Styela clava: one gene and its partner. The protein of the gene in region 2 binds, or shares a complex with, the protein of the main gene of each other region. Links are inferred from orthologs where the notes say so. Each region holds a gene or a part of one and is shown on either strand. Other genes may lie near its edges. The genes, in order: cell cycle checkpoint protein RAD1-like and checkpoint protein HUS1-like.

Region 1 (9,047 bases), on a different chromosome or scaffold from region 2:
AAAGCGGAACCAGATGGATAAGATAAAGGAGAATCGCACACATCAAAACTTATAGATTCAACACATCTGTGAATTCTATATTCTTACATGTGACATAGTAAATCAGTCATTGTGAAAATGGAAAAGATTGATATATTCGGACCACTTTATTCATTAGTAAAACTTTAAAAATTCATAAGTTCAAACAATATACCCAAAATGGCAAAACAATATAATCACAAAGTCTTGGTCTTCCCATTGAATGTTTATAGTAATTGTAGTAAAGAAAGAGAAATGTATACCAGTACATAGTTTTGTTTTACAGTAAACAAAAATATAATAAAATCCTGCTGCAATTCATGTTTCATTTTCTATTCATAGCTAGATATGAATGAACCTATTCACATACAAAATAAGCTCAGGAAGTCCTTTTCATGTTGATACAGTGTTAACATTTTTGTGGATCGCCAAATTATGATTGAACAGCATTATAAGTTTTTTGCGGTGTAAAATGTGATCTAGCGTAACTGTGACCACAAGGCATGTTAATCTCGTGATGAAATCCAAGTTCGCATGTATAACCACATTAAACTAATACCAATCCAGTTACAAGCAAAACCAAATATTGTACTATTCAGAACATATTCTGAAAAACTATTTCTGCTATTGAATATATTTCAATTTTGTTTAATCCAACAAACAACATACATGAGTTATTGTCAACGTATTGAGAATAATATTTTAAACAAAAATATTTTCGTTTAAAATAAAAAATGTCACACTAAACCATTAGAATTCATTTAGAAGTATAAGAAGATTTGATTTGATCTGTATGTAATAGGTCACTTAATGAATGAATACAAACTTTTCCTGTAGTGATATATGATATCTTTAGCACCATATGTTGAATGAAACGAACATTTAAACTTACCGATCAATGAGATAACGTCCTGCATTCATGTTACCAAGTTGATCGGAACCTCCAAATTGAAATCGACAATTATAATTTTGTAATAAATGTAACCAGTCATATGCTTGATATACTTGATACAGGAATTCAGGCAAAAGAAGTCCTTCAGAACTATTCAATCTTTCTTTTACAAATCTTTTATCTAGAAGAAATGTTAAAAATTTGGAAATTAAGAAAAATGCTTTTCACACAATTACCTTGTAAAATCGTAAAAATTTCAAAATTCATCGTTAAAGCACGGAATAGTGTTTTAATGCTTTGATCCATATGGTATTATAGGGATAAAGAGATGGTGATGATGGGGGGATAAAGACTATCACCTATATATTTAAGTTCGATTGTTGTATATTATAGGAAGATGCACAATCCAAATTCCGGAAACAGATAAAATTGCAACACACTTAACTCTTAACACAGTAAATCAGGAGTGAAACAAAACACAACCGCTTAACGCAGTAAAACAGAAGTGAAATCTAAACACAATATTTGCAGCCCTCTCGGCAAGCCGGAACGATACGTCATCAAATTGGTCGATACGAGAAAGGCAGTACATGTAATCAGTAATGCTACAATAAAATGACCTATTGTGGGAAATGGAACACACTATTAAAATGAAAGGGTTAAATACATTATAATTCATAGTTACACAATGCACATTCGCTACAGTATGTAACTTAACAAGGCACACAAATTTAATTGCAATGCAAATTAAATGAAATTTAGAACCTGAAAAAAACAAGAGAGAAGTACTCAAATATGTTATAAAAATTGTTTCTATGAATTAAAAACAAAATAAATTGGGGTAAAATATTAGAGTCCATAAAACTCCAGGAGGAAATTATTTTTTGCATCTTTGGTTGTCAAGGAATAAATTTTGACTACGTTTTTCCTGATATTCACACATAATATATACTTCATTTTCAATCAGGAATTTCGTTTAATTTTACCAAAAAAACTGAACAACAAAATACCTTATTTATTTACCTACCAAGCATAGGACCCATTCGAAATTTCCTTCCAGCATTGGCAAAAAAATCCACAACATTGATATCTCGATACCAATCATAATTATTTAAAATCTTTATTGTTGGTAGTTCTTTAACTCCGCGATGAATATAATGCTCCTGTTCATGAGTTTCAAATATATTTGTGATACAATTGATAAGTCCTTTTGTGTTTTTGTCTAATACATCTGTCGAGACTGAATTTCTGTCTTTTGTTTGATCGCTCGGATCTCCAATTCTCGCAGTTGCATTTCCAATAACAGCGATCACATTATGTCCTATAAATATTAGCGTTATTAGAAGGGATAAGAACACTTTTTTTGAAACAACGTTGAATACAAAGCACAGATATATATTTCAGAAATATAATTCAAGTTTCTAGATGAAAAACTGGCCATCGTATTTGTCCCCTAATTTTCCTCGTCATTTTTCATTAAAACAAACCAACATAATCAGATATGAAATAGACCTATGAATATTTTGTATAGACTAAAACATGAAAATTCTCATCATTTTTTAATTGACAAATTGCTTTATGGACTAAGTACAATGCATTTTTACATGATAGGTACTGGAGCACAGCCACTGTAACGGACTTTGTCGTGTATTTGTTATACATTGTTCTCTACTTGAGTTTGCTATTGGTTTATTCTGTGTATTGAGCATAAAATACTCTGTTTCCATGTTCCTATTTTTGAAAGTATAATACAGCAAAACTATGTTGTTAGAGATTACTATTCTTTACAGTACTTACCAGCTCTTTGACAATGCAACAGTAGCATTAAAGACATTAAATTTCCAATGTGTAGACTGTCGGATGTTGGATCAAAGCCACAATAAAAGCATTGTTGTTTTAATAACTGCTCTGGCAATGAGACAGAAGCATTTGGAAAAATATCTTCTAAAAGTCCTCGCTTGTGCAAGTTAAGAATGTTTTGTGGCTTTATCACTGAAGATTTTTTGACGCTGTTTTTTGCGCAGGACATTGAAAAAAACTTTGATGTCCATTTATGACAAAATAAATTACGATATTTAATAATGGGACACAGCATGCTTATGCTATTCTGAAAAGAGTGTAAAAAACAATAAGAACTATGTGTATAAACAACATTTTAAAAGAAATTGATGATTGAAAGCTAAATAACCACTGACAAATGAAGTGAAAATCTAAAATTACTGATGCCATCTGTACTTTCCCAGCTATTAATACTGTTGATTTAAGGTCTGAATGGGTTCATATTTAGATACATGAATATTTTTTGCTAGTTTGCACAGGGTAAAATGGTTTGTGTTAAAGTCAAACATCTTCTTCATCAAATTTTTCATCTGGACAACAATAATATTCAACAAAACAAATTTGTCCACTTTCATTTTTGATCATGTATTGGAAGGATAAAAACCCACGATGATCCATTCTTATACAGACTTTACTTGCAAGATTAACTGCTTTTACGGAAGGTTTTAGCAAGGATAAACGGTACTGATTTGACTGCGGCTCTGAGCATTGAAAGATTTCTACCATATCAGAATCTTTATGAATATCATTATCTGTTCGTCCACAATATCCTGAGCTTGAAAGTCGGAAATATGGTTTTTGTGGAGACATCGTAATCTCAACCACATCAGAAGTGTGGTCTAACTCGTTAAAAGCGTCTCGCAGACAATCAGCTTTCATTATAATTTTATTAACAACATTAGCAGCGCAGAATTCAAAATCTAGAGTCTCTTCTGACTCTTGCGTCTTTATACTACAATCAGTTGTAATGTTTTCTTCTTCTAAGGTTAGAGTAAGAGGTGAACCATATCCCCCATAAACCATTTTTAACGATGTTGTCATAATGGAACTACTTCCAAATATAGTTAAACACTCTTGAAGAACGTTCAAATTGATACAGAAGTTTACTTCTTCATGGACATCATATTCATCAAAAACAGTTGCTTGAATGAAAGCATTAGCTTGCAAACATTTCGCATCTTCTACAGTTACTTTCAAACCGTTTTCTGTTACAAATACAGTTGCTACATCTTTGAAATGTATCGCTTTTAAAATGTGTGAAAGATTTCTTGCATTACCAAGTTTGGCTAGGAATGTGTAATCCTCATCTTCAAGCGTTGTGCCATCCATTTATCAATATTTATAAAGTAAAACAGCTTTTTTGGATTAACAGTAATATCTAAAAATAGAACAAATCATTTTATTATATGCTTGTAAAACTATAATAGGCAATAAGCACACAAACATATTATAAAAAACAGCATTGTATAGTCATGGCAATGACATTTCATTAAATTATGCTGTAACAGGTAAGCTACAAACATTTGAAGATATGTTAGGTAAAATAATACCATGAAGTACTCTTTTTTTGGAATTTGTAATAATAACTAAAAAAATATCATTCTATTAAATACTTGTAACAATACAATGGGCTTATAGGCACGCAAAAATTTGATAAATTACATCATTGTATAATCATGTCAATGGCACCAACGAATAATTTTAATCTAAATTCATTCAAAAAACTACAAACAGTTGAAGATATATTAGATAAAATAATATCACGAAGCACTTTTTATGGAATTTATGATAATTTTCGAAAACATGTCATTTTATTATATGCTTGTAAAACTACAATAAGCACACACAACTTTGGTAAAATACATTGTATCAATTTGTATGGTATAATCATGGCAATGAAACTTAAATATATTATAACTATAAAATTAAAACTACACTTGAAGATATATTTAGGTAAAGTAGTAGTACAGCAGTTACGAAAATTACAGTGAACAATAGATGTTAAAACTATGACAACATAATACAATTTATATATTAATACTAAGATAACTGATAAGGCACAGTGATATGTTATCTAACATTTTAATCAGCTGATTCTGCAGATAAAGCAGCTTGAACTGTTGCAGTGGCACCAACCGGATTCGTATCTTCTTCTAAGTTCTTCATTTCCATCAAGATGAGATTACTAAGATAGTGAACTTGACGTGGCTTCGACAATAATTTATCCGTTTTCTTTTTGAAATTTTGTAATTCCTCTCGCTGTTTTGCACAAAAAGATTTGTGAGCTTTCATGTCTTCTTCGTAAATATGTTTGAAAGATTGTGCTGCGGCGGATGCTTTAATTCTGCTCTCGTAAATGATGTCTTGATAGGTTTGGGCATCTTTAGCTGGTGGTGTTTGAATAAGTGAATGCTGGACTAATACATCAAAAAAGGATTTTTTCTCGAAACCATATTGACGAGAAAATTGAACAAGCAATGGTGAGCGACCATACACGTTGAAGACATTCCTTGAAAACTCCATTGCACGCCCAGCAGCACAAGATGAATCGCTTTTTGGTGCAATAAACTTCGTTCTTAATCCAGCAGTGCTTTCAGTGGTTGATGTCAAAGGTTCTTCTGTAATTGTTGAAAGGGCATTTTGCTCAGATGCTAATTCCGCAACACGCGGTGTTAGTTTAGGAGAATGTGCACAAGATGCAGCATCTGATTTAGCAGTATGCATTCTTAATCCATGCGTTTTTTGAGATCCAGTCGGTGATCGAATTGACGATGTTTTAGTTGAAGCAGCGGAGCTGTATGAACTTGCTCTTCCACCTAGAGACTTGGCTGCATGATCAGGTCTCTTTTTCTTTTTTATAACTTCCTCCTTTCGCATCCCATCTGGCTCTAAAGCTGCCATATTCCATTTTTCATAAGAGCGAGGTGGCGGTGGAATACCTGAAATCCATTCGCCGCAAACTTGAGCTAACATTTCCTTGAACGCTGGTTCGTCAAACTGCCTCCATGACTGCGGAAATGCAAGGCAAAAAGCAGCATAAATTGATTGAGCCAGAATTGTACCATAATTAGCGAAAAACAAATCTCTATACTTCGGAATTTCAGCACTGAGTAACAGACCAACAAAATTGGTTGATATTCTTTTAAAGAGCTTGCCTTGGTTGATTGGATCAGGATGAAATTTTCTCAAGAAAAACCACCAGAAACCATCTTGCAGTATCGATTCTTGCATTTTTGAAAACAGTAGTCTGCAAAACTCCCGACGAAACGCAACTTTGTGTTTCAAATCTGGTTGAGCAGCGACAACATTATCAAGCACCTTGTTAGTTTGTAGAGAATGCGGTAGAGGAGCACATTTCTTCTTATTCCATCCTGGGAACTGCTGGAGTTCAACCAATCGAGGAGCGTCACTTGATTTTGCTCTTGGAGTTCCAGGAGCTTGTTTTTCTACATCAGCACCATACTTTTTCTCTGAAGGAGTTGTTCCACGAATGCTCATAGAGGGAGAATAGCTTTCAGCATAAGATTCAGTTCTCTTTTGCGGCTCTGGTGTTCTACTGTCAATTTCAAGCTGGCTCTCATATTTTGATAATTCTTCATCAAGATTGGTGATTCTTTGGTTAATTTTTCCAATCGTACCAACAAGAAAAGAAGCGGGCGATTCTTTTTGTAATTGTTCAAGAAGACGAATTTTGCTTTGTACTTTTTTGTCAACATCGAATAAATCCTCTTCACATAAGCTCATAGGAGACGCGATCCTACTGATGTGTGACATTTTTCTTATTTTTATACCCAAAAAGCAGTCTTTGTTTGGAAAAAAATTACTACATTATCATTCTAAAATAAGAACAAAATCCGTTTACAGTATTGCAAAGCACATAACCTAGAAAGCGTGCAGTGATTATCCCAGTCAAAAACCCAGTGTAACTAAAGTATAGGTCATTGGCATAATTAGTCTATATCTATACTAAATATAAATTCAACTAAGGTTATATGGCTGGGATTTAGAAACAATTATTTAATTACACAACTACAAGCGACAGTGAAATAAGTCAAAATAGCATTTTGGACATTTTTTAGGTTGAAATATTATGCCATATTGAGATTCGTTGAAGGCTGTTATATTGATCCATATGCAAAAATCAGGATAAAAGTTTAATTTATTGTCACAAAATTTGACACATCTTTATAGCAATAATTTGGATCAAAATTTCAGAAAAAAATGCCAAAATATTTTTTTAGGAATGAATCTGGAAATGTGTTTAGCATTGTTTAGAAGTGAATGACTTGATTGTGTTTGTTGATGCTTGTTGGCGTTTAGTTTCAGTGGGTGAATTGAATTCTAAGGACAAAGTTTTTAAGGACTTATTTTATTTTAATACAATTACCTTGATTCAACTTATTTTCTCCAAATAACTATGAAACCATTATAGAGTGTTTCATATTTGCACTCCGTCAATAACATATCAATTTAAACTCACAATAGATAGTGTATACACAAACACAAAAACATTAGTTATATATGATTTTTTGCATTATCCATCGATGTAAAATAATGTGAAACGGTATGGAATACCAAATCAAAGGATTCACTGAACATTCAAATAAGATTGGTGTCATTGTCAAAAACAGACTTTTTATAATTTAAGCAATATTGAAATATAACATTTAAGATGGCATTGTATACCTATGCACTTAATAAACAAGACACTTTTGAATAATATTATATCAGATATAATATTGCATAAAGTGTGCAAATTTCAGAAAGTGATTGTAGAGGACATTTATGTGTTTCAGGATGAAAAAAGGATGAAGTTTTTTTGTAAACTAATATTAAACAACAAAATTTTCAACCCAAGATTTTGTGCTTTATTTTTATTATTCCAGAATCAAAATGGAAAAACGTTTGCCACTTACTAATGATTGTAAGCACTGATTATACCATGTTTAGTTGTAAAAAAATTACAACCAGTGTTAACAAAGCACAATCAATTTTGAATCCAGAATTTTCTAAACATTTTTGCATTGAAGTAGTATGTAACCAATAATTGATGCCATTCAAAGAAACAACAAATAGAAACTTTTGACTAAAACTAACAATTTTTATAAAAAATGATATTGAGGCCCCAAAAGAAAGGCATCGGGAAGCACAAGTTTTGGTAAAACTTTTCAGTCACTTTGAATTGGAACAACTTGATAAGATTTAACAATGATTGCACAATGCATTCAACAAAATAAAACCTACGCTTGCTACACTATTGCCAGCGATCAATGACTGCATTTCTATCAAAAAACAATTAACCATGGAACTTGGCTTAAAAAATCTTAATAATGACAAAGTACATGTAATCTAGCGATCAATATTTAAATTCAAAAATTGTCTTATTTTTTAGACTTTAATAACCAACTTTGAGCAGAATATTATGTAGTTGTATTCATTTTTATAATAGAACTAATAATTTTCAACTCTAAAGCTTAATTTGAGAAATAAAGGTTTCTAATCTAATACCCTATTACATATTTAAATGAAGGACAGTACCACATGAAATACATCTTTATAATCAGAACTAAAAATTTTCAACTCTGAGCTTAATTTAAGAAAAAAATTGTTCCAAAACTAATACCCTCTTACGTAATAAATGAAGGATGATACCACTTTAAGGATATGCACCCTAAACAATTTCATAAAGTAACGTAAATTTAGTCCTAAAATATGATTGGGCACATTTTTTTCTGTTAACAATTAGATTTGGATGAATGAATATGAAACATGAACTACAATAATACCATACTAATCAATTCAAATTGAGTATGTATAGCATGGTATTTTTATTCCTGCCGCAACATCCTTGCATTATACGCATACACAAAGGCATTGAGGAAGGATTGGGAGTTAGTGTCACGCAACCTCTACTGATAGTTAAAATAATATCGTCCACAATTAATCCCCAACTTCAGTGAATTTGATTAGCAATAAAAATATTGTATAATTCCCACTTTTAATTATACACTACGTAAAGATTACCTAACAATTACAAGAACATATAACACAAGAAATGTTACAGACACATTTTCAAGGCGATTCTCTCTCTGCTGTGTTGTAATCAATGTGGCAAAACCAACACTAGATCATAAATTATTTTTATCAGCCAATATGCAGATATAAATTACATACCTTACAGGATAATTAACAAATTACATACACTAATGTTTGTAACATCTGATAAAACCATAAATACAAAATAATTTGCAAAAAAACAGGACAAATACATGCACCGCAGCTGTGCCTAACTTTAAAT
Region 2 (10,463 bases):
ATATCAATCCTACTTTCACAGTGCAATCATTCATCAGCATGCTCTTCTCTTTTATCGATATGGATTTCTATGAAAAAATTTGAATCTATTCCTTCCTCTGCTCAAGTAATGATCTATCAAAATCTGGATAAAGTAATAAGATGTCAGGAAGATTTAAAAATAGCCGACTTTCTTGAGTTAATAGCAACTCGATGTATTGATATGCCTTGGAACTCCGACCAATTTCAAGTAATGCGTGTGGCCATCATAGATGGTTTAACTAAATCATTGAGACAATCTAGTGCTTTGGCTTCTGGTATCAATGATATGTTGTATAACACGATTGAAGGATTGTTTATGAATTTACCTTTTATGTGTGACAATAAAAGACATATAGACGTTTTACGAAAGTTGTCTGAATGCATAGAATGCCTGCCTGATGCCAATGCGTTGCTTTCAAATTACGAAGTTGAAAATGCTCTTTCCAGCAATCTTCTAAAGTGCTTATTTATCAGGTGTTGCTGTACACTTACTGGTACACATCCACTGAACATGTGTAATAATACAATTCTCAAGTGTGGCAAAGATGAAAGTATTCGTAATGAGTCTTTGTGGATCATTGGTCAATGTTTATGTGGTATTGGAAGAAAAGAACAAGTGCATAGCCAGATTGAATGGCTACAAGAACTGATGGGTGAGATTAAGAAAATAGTCGAATCTTCAGAGAAACTCGATCATGGGCTGTTAGATTATTGTATTAATATATTATCTATGGCAGTTGCTTTTTGGTCAACTGCTGGGAGTTCTTTGCCCATTATGGGACACTACAAGAATAGTTCCATGATTTTGAAAGTTCAGTCTACATGTCTAAATGACTGCAAACATATGTTTCCGCTCTCCCTATCAATGTTATACAAGTCCGAGAAATGGGAAAATTTAATAAAGCATATGACTGATTGGTTGATAATGATGTTGCAGAAGGTAAATGTCATTGGTTCAATGCAAAGTTGGGAACAACCATTTAGAGGTGCTCTGTATGCAGCTGTTAATACAAAAGGATACCAATTACCCTCCGTTTGGTGCAAAGTAGTAACTGCAATTGTCAAGCCGATGCTTAGACAAGATAATTGATGGTCTACAATCATGATTCAAATTTAATATCTTGAAGCAATTAGTTTATGTTGAGCATTCCTGCTACTGATCTTGTCACTGTCAAACACCATTCCCTTTTTATAGTTGGTATGGTTTGTTAAAATAAAAGTCATATATATACGACTTATTTGTTCATATTTTGCCAATATGGGTTCAGCTACTGTAAATGCCATTTCTCTTTCACTACACTGATGTATTTAGTCTGATTGTAAGGGCACTAAAGATTTTATGCTTAATCAGTTTAGTCTCTAATCAATAACCCCTGCTGTACTGAAAATGATGACCAGGGCAAAACTTTACATTGGTCGTTTTCATACTGACGGGTGAGAGATCACCATCACAAAATTGTAACTAAAAGAACATAAAGGGCGAGGGACCGCAATCATGAGCTCAATACTAGGGTTGCTGTTTTGAGACCAGATTTGAAATCCAGGGGTCTGGCCTCAACTGACGTAGGTTCGATTGTTCTTAGTTAGTGCGTCACACATATTTTCTGGCCTATTCCTGCTTGTCTCATATAGCAGCATTTCTTTCTCAACCACCGCCATTCAACATCTATAAGTACACCTTCGTTCCTCTGTCTTCACAAGGTTCCAAGTCATTTGAGTGTCTGGTCAGCCCAAACTTGCAACCATTGAATAAGAGCTTGGCATGACCTGTCTATGTTTTCTCTATGATAACTACATTTTATCCACCAATTTGGGCAACAGGAAAATTCACATACATACAAAGTTGAACAAAAAATATATATTAACAAGTTCAGAAAAACATTAACACATATTGAAGTATCATCTTGCTATGGCAGGTATGAAATATTGCAGAGATAATTCATCATGAAGAAGGAAAAATTGTACTATGGTCCCATCAACGATATCTGCAAAAAATGACATTTCATTTGTTATAGCACATGTCAAATTTGGGGAATTAAATAAATATTTAACAAAAACTGAAAACTGGCCATTGCTCAAAATAGACACAAAGGCCAAAACAAGTAGTATCAAATCTTTTACACTGCAAGTAGTCTAACCACCAAATCACTGAGATGTGACTACGGTGCACAGTTTCCAATTTTAATGAGGCCATCACACAGAAATTTTTGAAATAAATAAAAATAATAGCAACAAGCTCTCACCACCTGAAATTTTAAAACAATTCGTCGAGTAGTTGAAGAGAAAAGCAAATTTTTCACAACAACAACAAAAAGATACATAGGTCAATTCATGTCCAAAAACACTTACTGCAAATCACACGCTCTGGGTTTATAATCTGTCCTGCCAAAAACTGCAGAAATTTTTTGATATCTATTCTAGCACTGGCAAACTCATCAGGAGGCCAAGCAAGCCTGTGAGAGACACTTTGGACTTCTTCATCTTCCATGCGCACATCAGGGATATCCAGATCTTGAAAACTAAAAACATAAAAAATGTCTGCTTTTATTGTCAAAATATCGGAAACAGCACACAAATTCGAGCTCGCACTTTGTCATGTATACCACCTACTATACTAGGGCTGCAGAGTCTAGGGCAGACAGGTGTGGGCACGGTTTTTAGATTAGGGGCCAATTTGCCCACCTAGACTGGCGGGCCATGTAAGTATGAGGTAAAGAGTTTCATTTTATGAACAATGTTTACAGTGTTACAAAAGCAACAGTGGAAAACAATAAACCTCATGCCAAAACTAAATTTAACCGCAATCTCAACAAATACCTTGAGTTATATTTAACTAAAACATCAAAGTTTGGTCGTGGCAGCATCGGACGGGCCGGATTTCGCTCACGGGCCATACTTGTCTGGTCTAGGACAACCAAACTCTGACCTCACAGCACTGGACTATACTGTAGATATGTCCTGGTGTCATTTTTAGCCAATCAATATCAAACCAAATATCTTCAAACGATCTATTGATGTCTTTCGTGACAAAAATGAAATGCAAAAAATTTTCGAGTTATTGTAATAATATTATTCAATTATTGTAATAATAGTCCTTGAAATATTAATCTGATGACTACATGTCAGGACAAATGTATACAAGAAAGCAGAAAACCAGACACATGATTGGCAGTTTCGGACATGCAGATACTTTGAAATAATATGTTGAACAGCTTTACCTAGTTTTCACTGTAACAAGATCTGTGTCAACTCTCATCAACATCTCACCCTGCTGATTTGCAGCAAGAATCAAATATGAGCTGATGTTTTTCATTTTTTCCGCAATTGTCTTGACCTGATAACAATTATTTTTTTTCATACAAATTGAAGATGGCATAAAAATAATTTTAGGCCCTATAAAAACTATATATGTATAAATTAATATGCAAATTCAGGCAGGCATATTGATTAAACACACTGTTATTGGTATTTAAAACGATCTCACCATTTTCAATGGAGGCATAAATATTGTCACATGGTAGTTTGGCATATTTGGCTCTGCATAATCTCCCCACAGTCTTCTTGGTATTACTGTTACAGGAATATCATGTGTTACAGTCCGCGAGTCAGACGCTAGAGATGGCTGAAATGTTTTATTATATGGCAATTATCAATGAATAAAGCCCTTTATGTCTTAAATTCTATATATCTTTACCAATTCAACTTCTAGTGATAGACATGGACTTTGTTTCTTCGTCAGTTTGATTTTTAATGCTTTTGCAGCTTGTGCAGATTTCAGTGCTCGACTTAAATTTTCTGCTACAACCTCAAGATAGATTTCATTGCAATCCTTGTTTACTCCTTCCATCTGGTATTCATCAAAGAAGTTTTCCTAGAAAAATGCATATCGTTCAATACTCTGTATCCGGATAACTCAAGTTTGAAAAATTACTTTTTATATGAAAACAAAAATTAAGGCTTGGCGGTGTGGCGAATCGTGCTAAGCGTTAGGAATGCATTCGCACCTCTGATTACACTGCGTGTATCCGGGGATAGCTATGTGCGAAAGAATTGCTGAACTCCTCGCCGCCGTAGGGTGGTTCATGTGATCGGTTGCGGCTTCCTCCACCATCAAGTCCATGCTTCCGAAAATAAATAACTGGCTAACTAATCCCATACCCAACATGGATTGGTAACCGGACGAGAGGCCGATTAAAGAGTCTTTCCTCTACCCCGGGATAAATATGTAAATCCAAAAAGTAGAAGCTGATTGGGTGCCACTCTGACAATGATTGAGTTCCCTGAATGCTCAATTATCATTGAAATTGGCCAACACATTATATCTAATACGAAAACACATACCTGCTTGATTTCACACCACATGCTGACCCCTCCATTAGAAACCTGATCTGGTAGAATGAAATAAACTTTTTCAGAAGTGAAACGGAGGGTGCATTTCTTTAAAAGTTTGGATATTGTATTCACAACTCCTGAAATACAATGCATAAATTGAATAATTCTAACTAACACTTACTTACTCACGGTATGTTAACCATGTATGGATGTACTAGCTCTCACGGTTTTGATATTATATTATAGGGAAATATCCCTGAACCCGGTTTGAGTACGATACGGTACCGGTACCACACGCCTGACGGTACCGGTATCTAGACTAAAGTGTTAGTTTTATATAGACCTAGCCTACATAATTTGAAACTATGGGTAAATAGTTTACTTCTTTCCTTGAACAGCCTGGAAATAGTACTCACTTGTCAAGTGGTGCACACATCCGATATCAACAACTTTTGCTCGAAAACGCATCCTGTTTTAGTGACTTAAAAGCATAAGCGACTCGCAAATTCCACAATTGAACAAGCGCGGCAATGTGAATCGGGGGGATCCCCCATAAGAAAGTGTTAAGCTATTCTTAGTTGCCAGATTTTTATTGAGTTCATCCATGGAATTCTAACGATTGTTCTAATTGTCTTTGCATGAAATTCTTTATCGTGAGTTCTGTGTTGTAGGTGCAACGTAGTTCTATATAAAATGCCCGGTCATTTTTTCTTTCTTAGTTCTTCGGAAAATTGGAATGATGCGTTCCGCATCCTGAATATGTTCATAACTATAATTCGTATTGCTAAATTGTTGTTCGTGTTAGTGCAAAAATTTATATACGCATTTTTGTTAGTTTCTCCGCAGTATTTTTGCTTCTTGTGCTGATTTCCCCGAAAATAAGACCTACACTGAAAATGAGACCTAGCCTTAATTTTAAAAATGATTTTAATATAAGCCACCACCCCCTTCAAATAAGACCTGGTCAATAACGTGATTTTTTTTCGACCTACCGGTAGTTGATAGCAAGAAATTTCTCCTAAACTTTTTGAATGATTGGTAATCCATGTTTTGCAGTTATTTTGCAGTTAAAAACGTGTTATTTAAAAGTAATTTGATATCGGTTTCATATTTGAAAATCTTGTAATTCTCTACTTCATAATTTTGTTTTTGATAAATGAAAATATAAGACATCCCCCTAAAATAAGTCCTAGTGTTATTTTTCGAAAAAAATGAAATAAGACCCAGTCTTATTTTCGGGAAACACGGTAGTTATGCATATCTATCCATCTAGGGCAGTGGTTCTCAAATCTTAACCTTTTTACTTTTGTGGCCAATTTTCGCTGCCCAAAAATTCTTGTGACCCATACATTTTTGCAAGTGATAAACTAGAAAAAAAATCCAAATCTTTCTGTAAAAATGGACACTTTCACTTTAATAATTAGAAAGAAACTTATTACTCAGAAAACAATCATTGTTAGTGCAATCAAAATTATTGATAGTGACATAAATCAACTGTGGCATTTTTTAATAGTTCTGTGGTCCACCTAAAAATCTTTCCATGGCATGCTGAGTCGGTGACTTACTTGAAACAGAGAATTGTGATCTACAGCGGATAACCCATGTACTGGCATATATTTTCAAAATAAACTTAATTTGCTCCGAGTAGCCCCAAATATATTGAAACCAAAATAACAGCATTTTACAAATATATGGACAGGGTGGTGCAGTAACTAACCGCAGTATTTTTGTTGCAACAACACAAACTACTTCTTGTAATCCGTATTGAGTGATTCCATTCTCAAGCGCTTGGATTTATCTTGTTTCAATGACGTAATTACCATAAAGTTTCTTACTTACTTAGTAACCCATAACTACGTAATGGCGCAATAAAAAAAATTCTTTTCAGCTATAGGCTTTTGATAATTCATAGATACGATAGTAAAAGTGAATATATCGGAAAGAAGGAATTGAAAAAAATATATATCGCTAATCCCGCACCAAAGCAAATATTTGTAGATAAAATGTTATAGGTTCCCCATTACGATAGCTGACAAATTTTGATTGTATAAGCCTGATCCTTTAATTTAAATTACAGTTTTTTTTTTTTGAATCAATGGGTGATGAACTCCACCAATTACAAACTATGGGAACTGCTGATGGGAATATTTTTCGTTCCATAATCAGGAACTGCAATCGCTCCCGACTGGTTCCATTGAAGAAGTTTATGTAATTTCCCTTATATTGGCTTTGCCAATACGCTTGGGTGAAAAGGTTTTCAAAACGTTTGATACCAGGCATTTAAAAAAACATACTACCTTGTTTTCCCGAAAATAAAACCTAGCCTCAAATTTGAAAATGATTTTATAAGCCCTCCCCCTTAAAATAAGACATAGCGATAGTATCTTTTGACTTAGTCGATAGAAAGAAATCTCTCCCACGCGTTTTAAATGATTAATCTATGTATATGAGACGATAAGGTTCAATGAAGTTCTCAATCGATGAGACCTTTCATTGTCGACATGAAACTACAGGTGCAAAAATTCGACAAAAAATTCAATTAAATTAAATCTTCATTGGCATGCAAGACATTCCAGAGGATGGTGATATGGTTTATTTCAAATCAATCTATGTTTAGCAGTTTTTTTTTTTTTTAATAAAAACGCGTTATTTATAAGTAAAGGGATATCGGTTTCCATATTTGAAAATCTCGTTATTTTCTACTTTGTAATTTCGTTTTTAATAAATGAAATTGAAACACATCACCGAAAATGAGCCCTAGTGCTATTTTTTGGAAGATAATTGAAATACCACCCTGTCCTATATTCGGGGAAACACCGTATGCTTATTTGCTGTTGAACCGCGTAGCTGAAATTGGAGATGTTTCTGATATAATCCACCCCGAAAACAAAAAAACCAGAAATCGTTGAATGAAATAGATGTTTATCAGGGATACAAGAATTTAAGAATTGATGCACGACATTTCGCTGAATTGATACCTAGCGGTTATGAAAAAGTGATATCGCATCAAGTTATTTGTACATAACCTCAAGGTATCAATTCACCGAAATGTCAGGAGTTTTATTTTCATAAAGAGAGAAAGTAAGAAGAAAATAAAAATAGAAAGATACGATACAAGTCGAAACTCTTTTGTTTCGCAGCTAACTATCAGCTTATATTTTCGCAATATATATAGTTTCGACACTTGTGGCTTTAGTCGTCTGTGAATAAGTAGTTTCGGTAAAAACGAAGATTAACAATTTTTGCTTTTCATTTGTTGCTTCTGAAACTGAATGAGTTGAACTAAAATAGATCAACAAATTATAATATTCAACATTTACTTACAAAATGTTGAACGAATTATGCCTAACTCGAATGCGATCTTCTTCGAAACCGCTTTTGAGCAATGTGTCACGCGCACTAAGCGTAAACATGAAACGTCGACCATTACATCATCGCCTCTTCTGGGGAATTCTTCCATAAACGCCCCTTGTTGTAATTTCGAGTGAGAAACCCCCTTTTCTACAATATAAAAACCTCGATCGACTTCTCGCAAAATTTCAGTTCTACACAGTCACACAGTATAAAATGGTGAGTACTGTACTTTAAAAAATTAAATATTTATGATTTTGATATTGTCTCACCACTATCTTAGGCTAGGTTAGTTTATGGTAGGTTACGTTATTGCTGCATCCTCATCAATATTAAAAGGAAAAAAGTGGGGCAATATTAAAATCTGAAATATTCTAACTAACCTACGATAGACGACACAATCAGAAAATAAGATATAAAAGTGGTGATGCAATAACAGTGCGAGACCGCACTTTTATATTTTTTTAGTTTAAATGCCAACTCGCAATATGATCAGATATATTGAACTAATAGCTACAGGAAAGATATATTTCAGTAGGGACAAGTTTAATACCACTGGTGGTTCTGTAGTCTATCTTACCGCCCTGACTTGTAAGAAATTTTGCGAGTCAAATGAGGTCTATTTTGTTATAACGATTAGAATATATTAGTAAATCTCGTTCTCAAAATTTTAAGAAATGCCTGTAACCGCTATAGAAATCGGGTAGAAATGAAAAAAAAAAAATTATATCGAATTACATCCCAAATGCGACATGTTTAAAAGGTGTATATATTCGCATGGCATTTTTTTCCCGGACGAGAATATCCGAGGTAGATTGAGAATTAGTGAAAATGAGTTATTTATGTTTTTCTTATTGAAATCTATATCCCGCTTCTTGTTTTTGGCTTTGGCAATAATAGAATCTAATATCTATCTATATTCTATGATGACGATATTTTAATAGTAGGATTACCAAAAACGCAAAAGGCTTTTTAGATGACAATAGTATTTTTATTTCACTGAAATCAACAGCCTGCATACAGCAGATCCATTCAGAATCAAAACTAAGTTAGACTATGCCATTCTCAGGTTAGGAACTGTAAACTTAACGCTTATCAAATTCATGCAGTTCATGTAGTAAACAGGTGAAACTATACTTCGGCGACATAAAATTACTGGTAAAAATAAATTTGACGTTTGATGGGAAACACCGATATATTTTGTGTGTTGAATGTATTAAGTAAATATTAATACGTATTTGCGCAACTAGGCTACTCTTGCGCAAGTAAACGTCACAGAACAAGCGAAAGTGTTTCGTCTGTTTCTGTCTCTGACGAAATATCATACCGAGGTATTTCTTACACTCGACGTAACGCTAGACTAAACTATTATTAATAAAAACTGTGGTGTCTGTTTTACACGGACGGAAAAGGCTTTATTGCGACCTCAACCTACGCGTGTGGTCGCATCAAAGATACCTGTTGTTGGCGACATATTATAAGGTGCCAATCACTTTACTTCAGTATGTATCAGGGTGCTTCAATACGATAATCCTATTGTCTATATGTAAGGTGATAGGTAAAATAAACACCAGTGATATTTTTGTACCGTCTGGAAACTTACGAAAAATTTCTAGGTGTTATCTTTCTCGGCGGGCTTCGCATGACCGCGTGCTGTATCAATTGGGTACACTCAGCAATTTTGAAGGACAAATTATGGAAAGGGATTGTCGATCAATACACTGAAATTAGGCCTCTTATGTAAACGTAACAAGTTGTAATATCGCTAATTTATTCATAAAATGAAACTACAAAAACAAAATTCAATTTTTACACAAAATATTAAAAAAGTTACATTTCATAAATATTGGATTTTATAAATAAAGATACTGACGTAATAGTTTAACTATAGAAATAGGGTGATGCATTGCACCATCCTTTTTCAACGTCACAATTCAAATATTTGATAAACTGCACAAGTTTGAAAAGCACCTCGTGTAAATTCCTTATATTACAAACAATTGTGCTATGAATAAATATGTTATGTAATGTGCTATAAAATAGCAGTTGGACCCTAATATGTCATCCTGGTTTCAAACCTCAATAACATATCTTGTACCAACACGAAGGGTCGTCATAAATTTCGTACCGTAAGGTTTTTTTGCCTAGTTGTAGTCGCTATTCTAGATAATGAGTGTGTGTGCGGCAAGTCAATGCCCATGAAAAAGTAAACGGACCTCCTGAAGTATGCGCTCAAGATGGCGCACAATCTGAACTCAGGTTGTGTACCAGGTTGGGGTTCAGGTTGTGCGACATCTTGGTGCGCATACTTCAAGAGTACCGAGTAAATTCCCATTATAGGTGAATTTACACATGTATACAATTTGGTACGAGCGAGAAAACGAGCACCAAACAAACCATGGATTTTTGATTTTTAGTCAACGAATATTCATTTTGTGTATTTCAATACTTCAAAATGTATGCTGAATCGAAATATTTTCATTTTTAGATAACCAAGATATGTGCCGCATTGTTGCTGTTATTCACTGTTGCAACACTTGTAGTCGGATATAGAAATGAAAATAACAAACGCGTAAAATGTGGTGAAAGCTCATTCTTCAACGCCACAAGACAAGCTTGTCAAGCCTGTGGTATATGTGAACCAGGTATATGCTAATTTTTGTTTGTAACTTGTACAAGCCTAGCGTCATATGACTCTACGTATTAGAGCCACGGAATGCTGAGACTTTATTTGATTCAGGTGAACCATGGTGTTTATAC

What was found.
Region 1: checkpoint protein HUS1-like (region 2) and cell cycle checkpoint protein RAD1-like share a complex: the UniProt entries of both Drosophila melanogaster proteins name them as parts of the 9-1-1 checkpoint clamp complex. The link is inferred for Styela clava from reciprocal best matches to the Drosophila melanogaster genes Hus1-like and Rad1.

Annotation. Positions count from the first base shown.
Region 1 is NC_135258.1:12,550,674-12,559,720, reverse strand, and holds cell cycle checkpoint protein RAD1-like, read right to left. Parts: upstream 4,127-9,047; 5' UTR 4,079-4,126; coding exon 3,251-4,078; 3' UTR 3,236-3,250; downstream 1-3,235. Other genes in the region: tyrosine--tRNA ligase, mitochondrial-like, read right to left, coding at 911-1,091, 1,938-2,231, 2,708-3,005; protein FAM227A-like, read right to left, coding at 4,832-6,523.
Region 2 is NC_135253.1:6,346,125-6,356,587, forward strand, and holds checkpoint protein HUS1-like, read right to left. Parts: upstream 4,912-10,463; 5' UTR 4,821-4,911; coding exon 4,769-4,820; intron 4,490-4,768; coding exon 4,362-4,489; intron 3,892-4,361; coding exon 3,715-3,891; intron 3,643-3,714; coding exon 3,505-3,642; intron 3,355-3,504; coding exon 3,239-3,354; intron 2,540-3,238; coding exon 2,370-2,539; intron 2,006-2,369; coding exon 1,920-2,005; 3' UTR 1,859-1,919; downstream 1-1,858. Other genes in the region: focadhesin-like, read left to right, coding at 1-1,110; uncharacterized protein LOC120327064, read left to right, coding at 7,920-7,922, 10,192-10,348. UniProt on the Drosophila melanogaster protein: Component of the 9-1-1 checkpoint clamp complex. Involved in both meiotic and somatic DNA damage responses.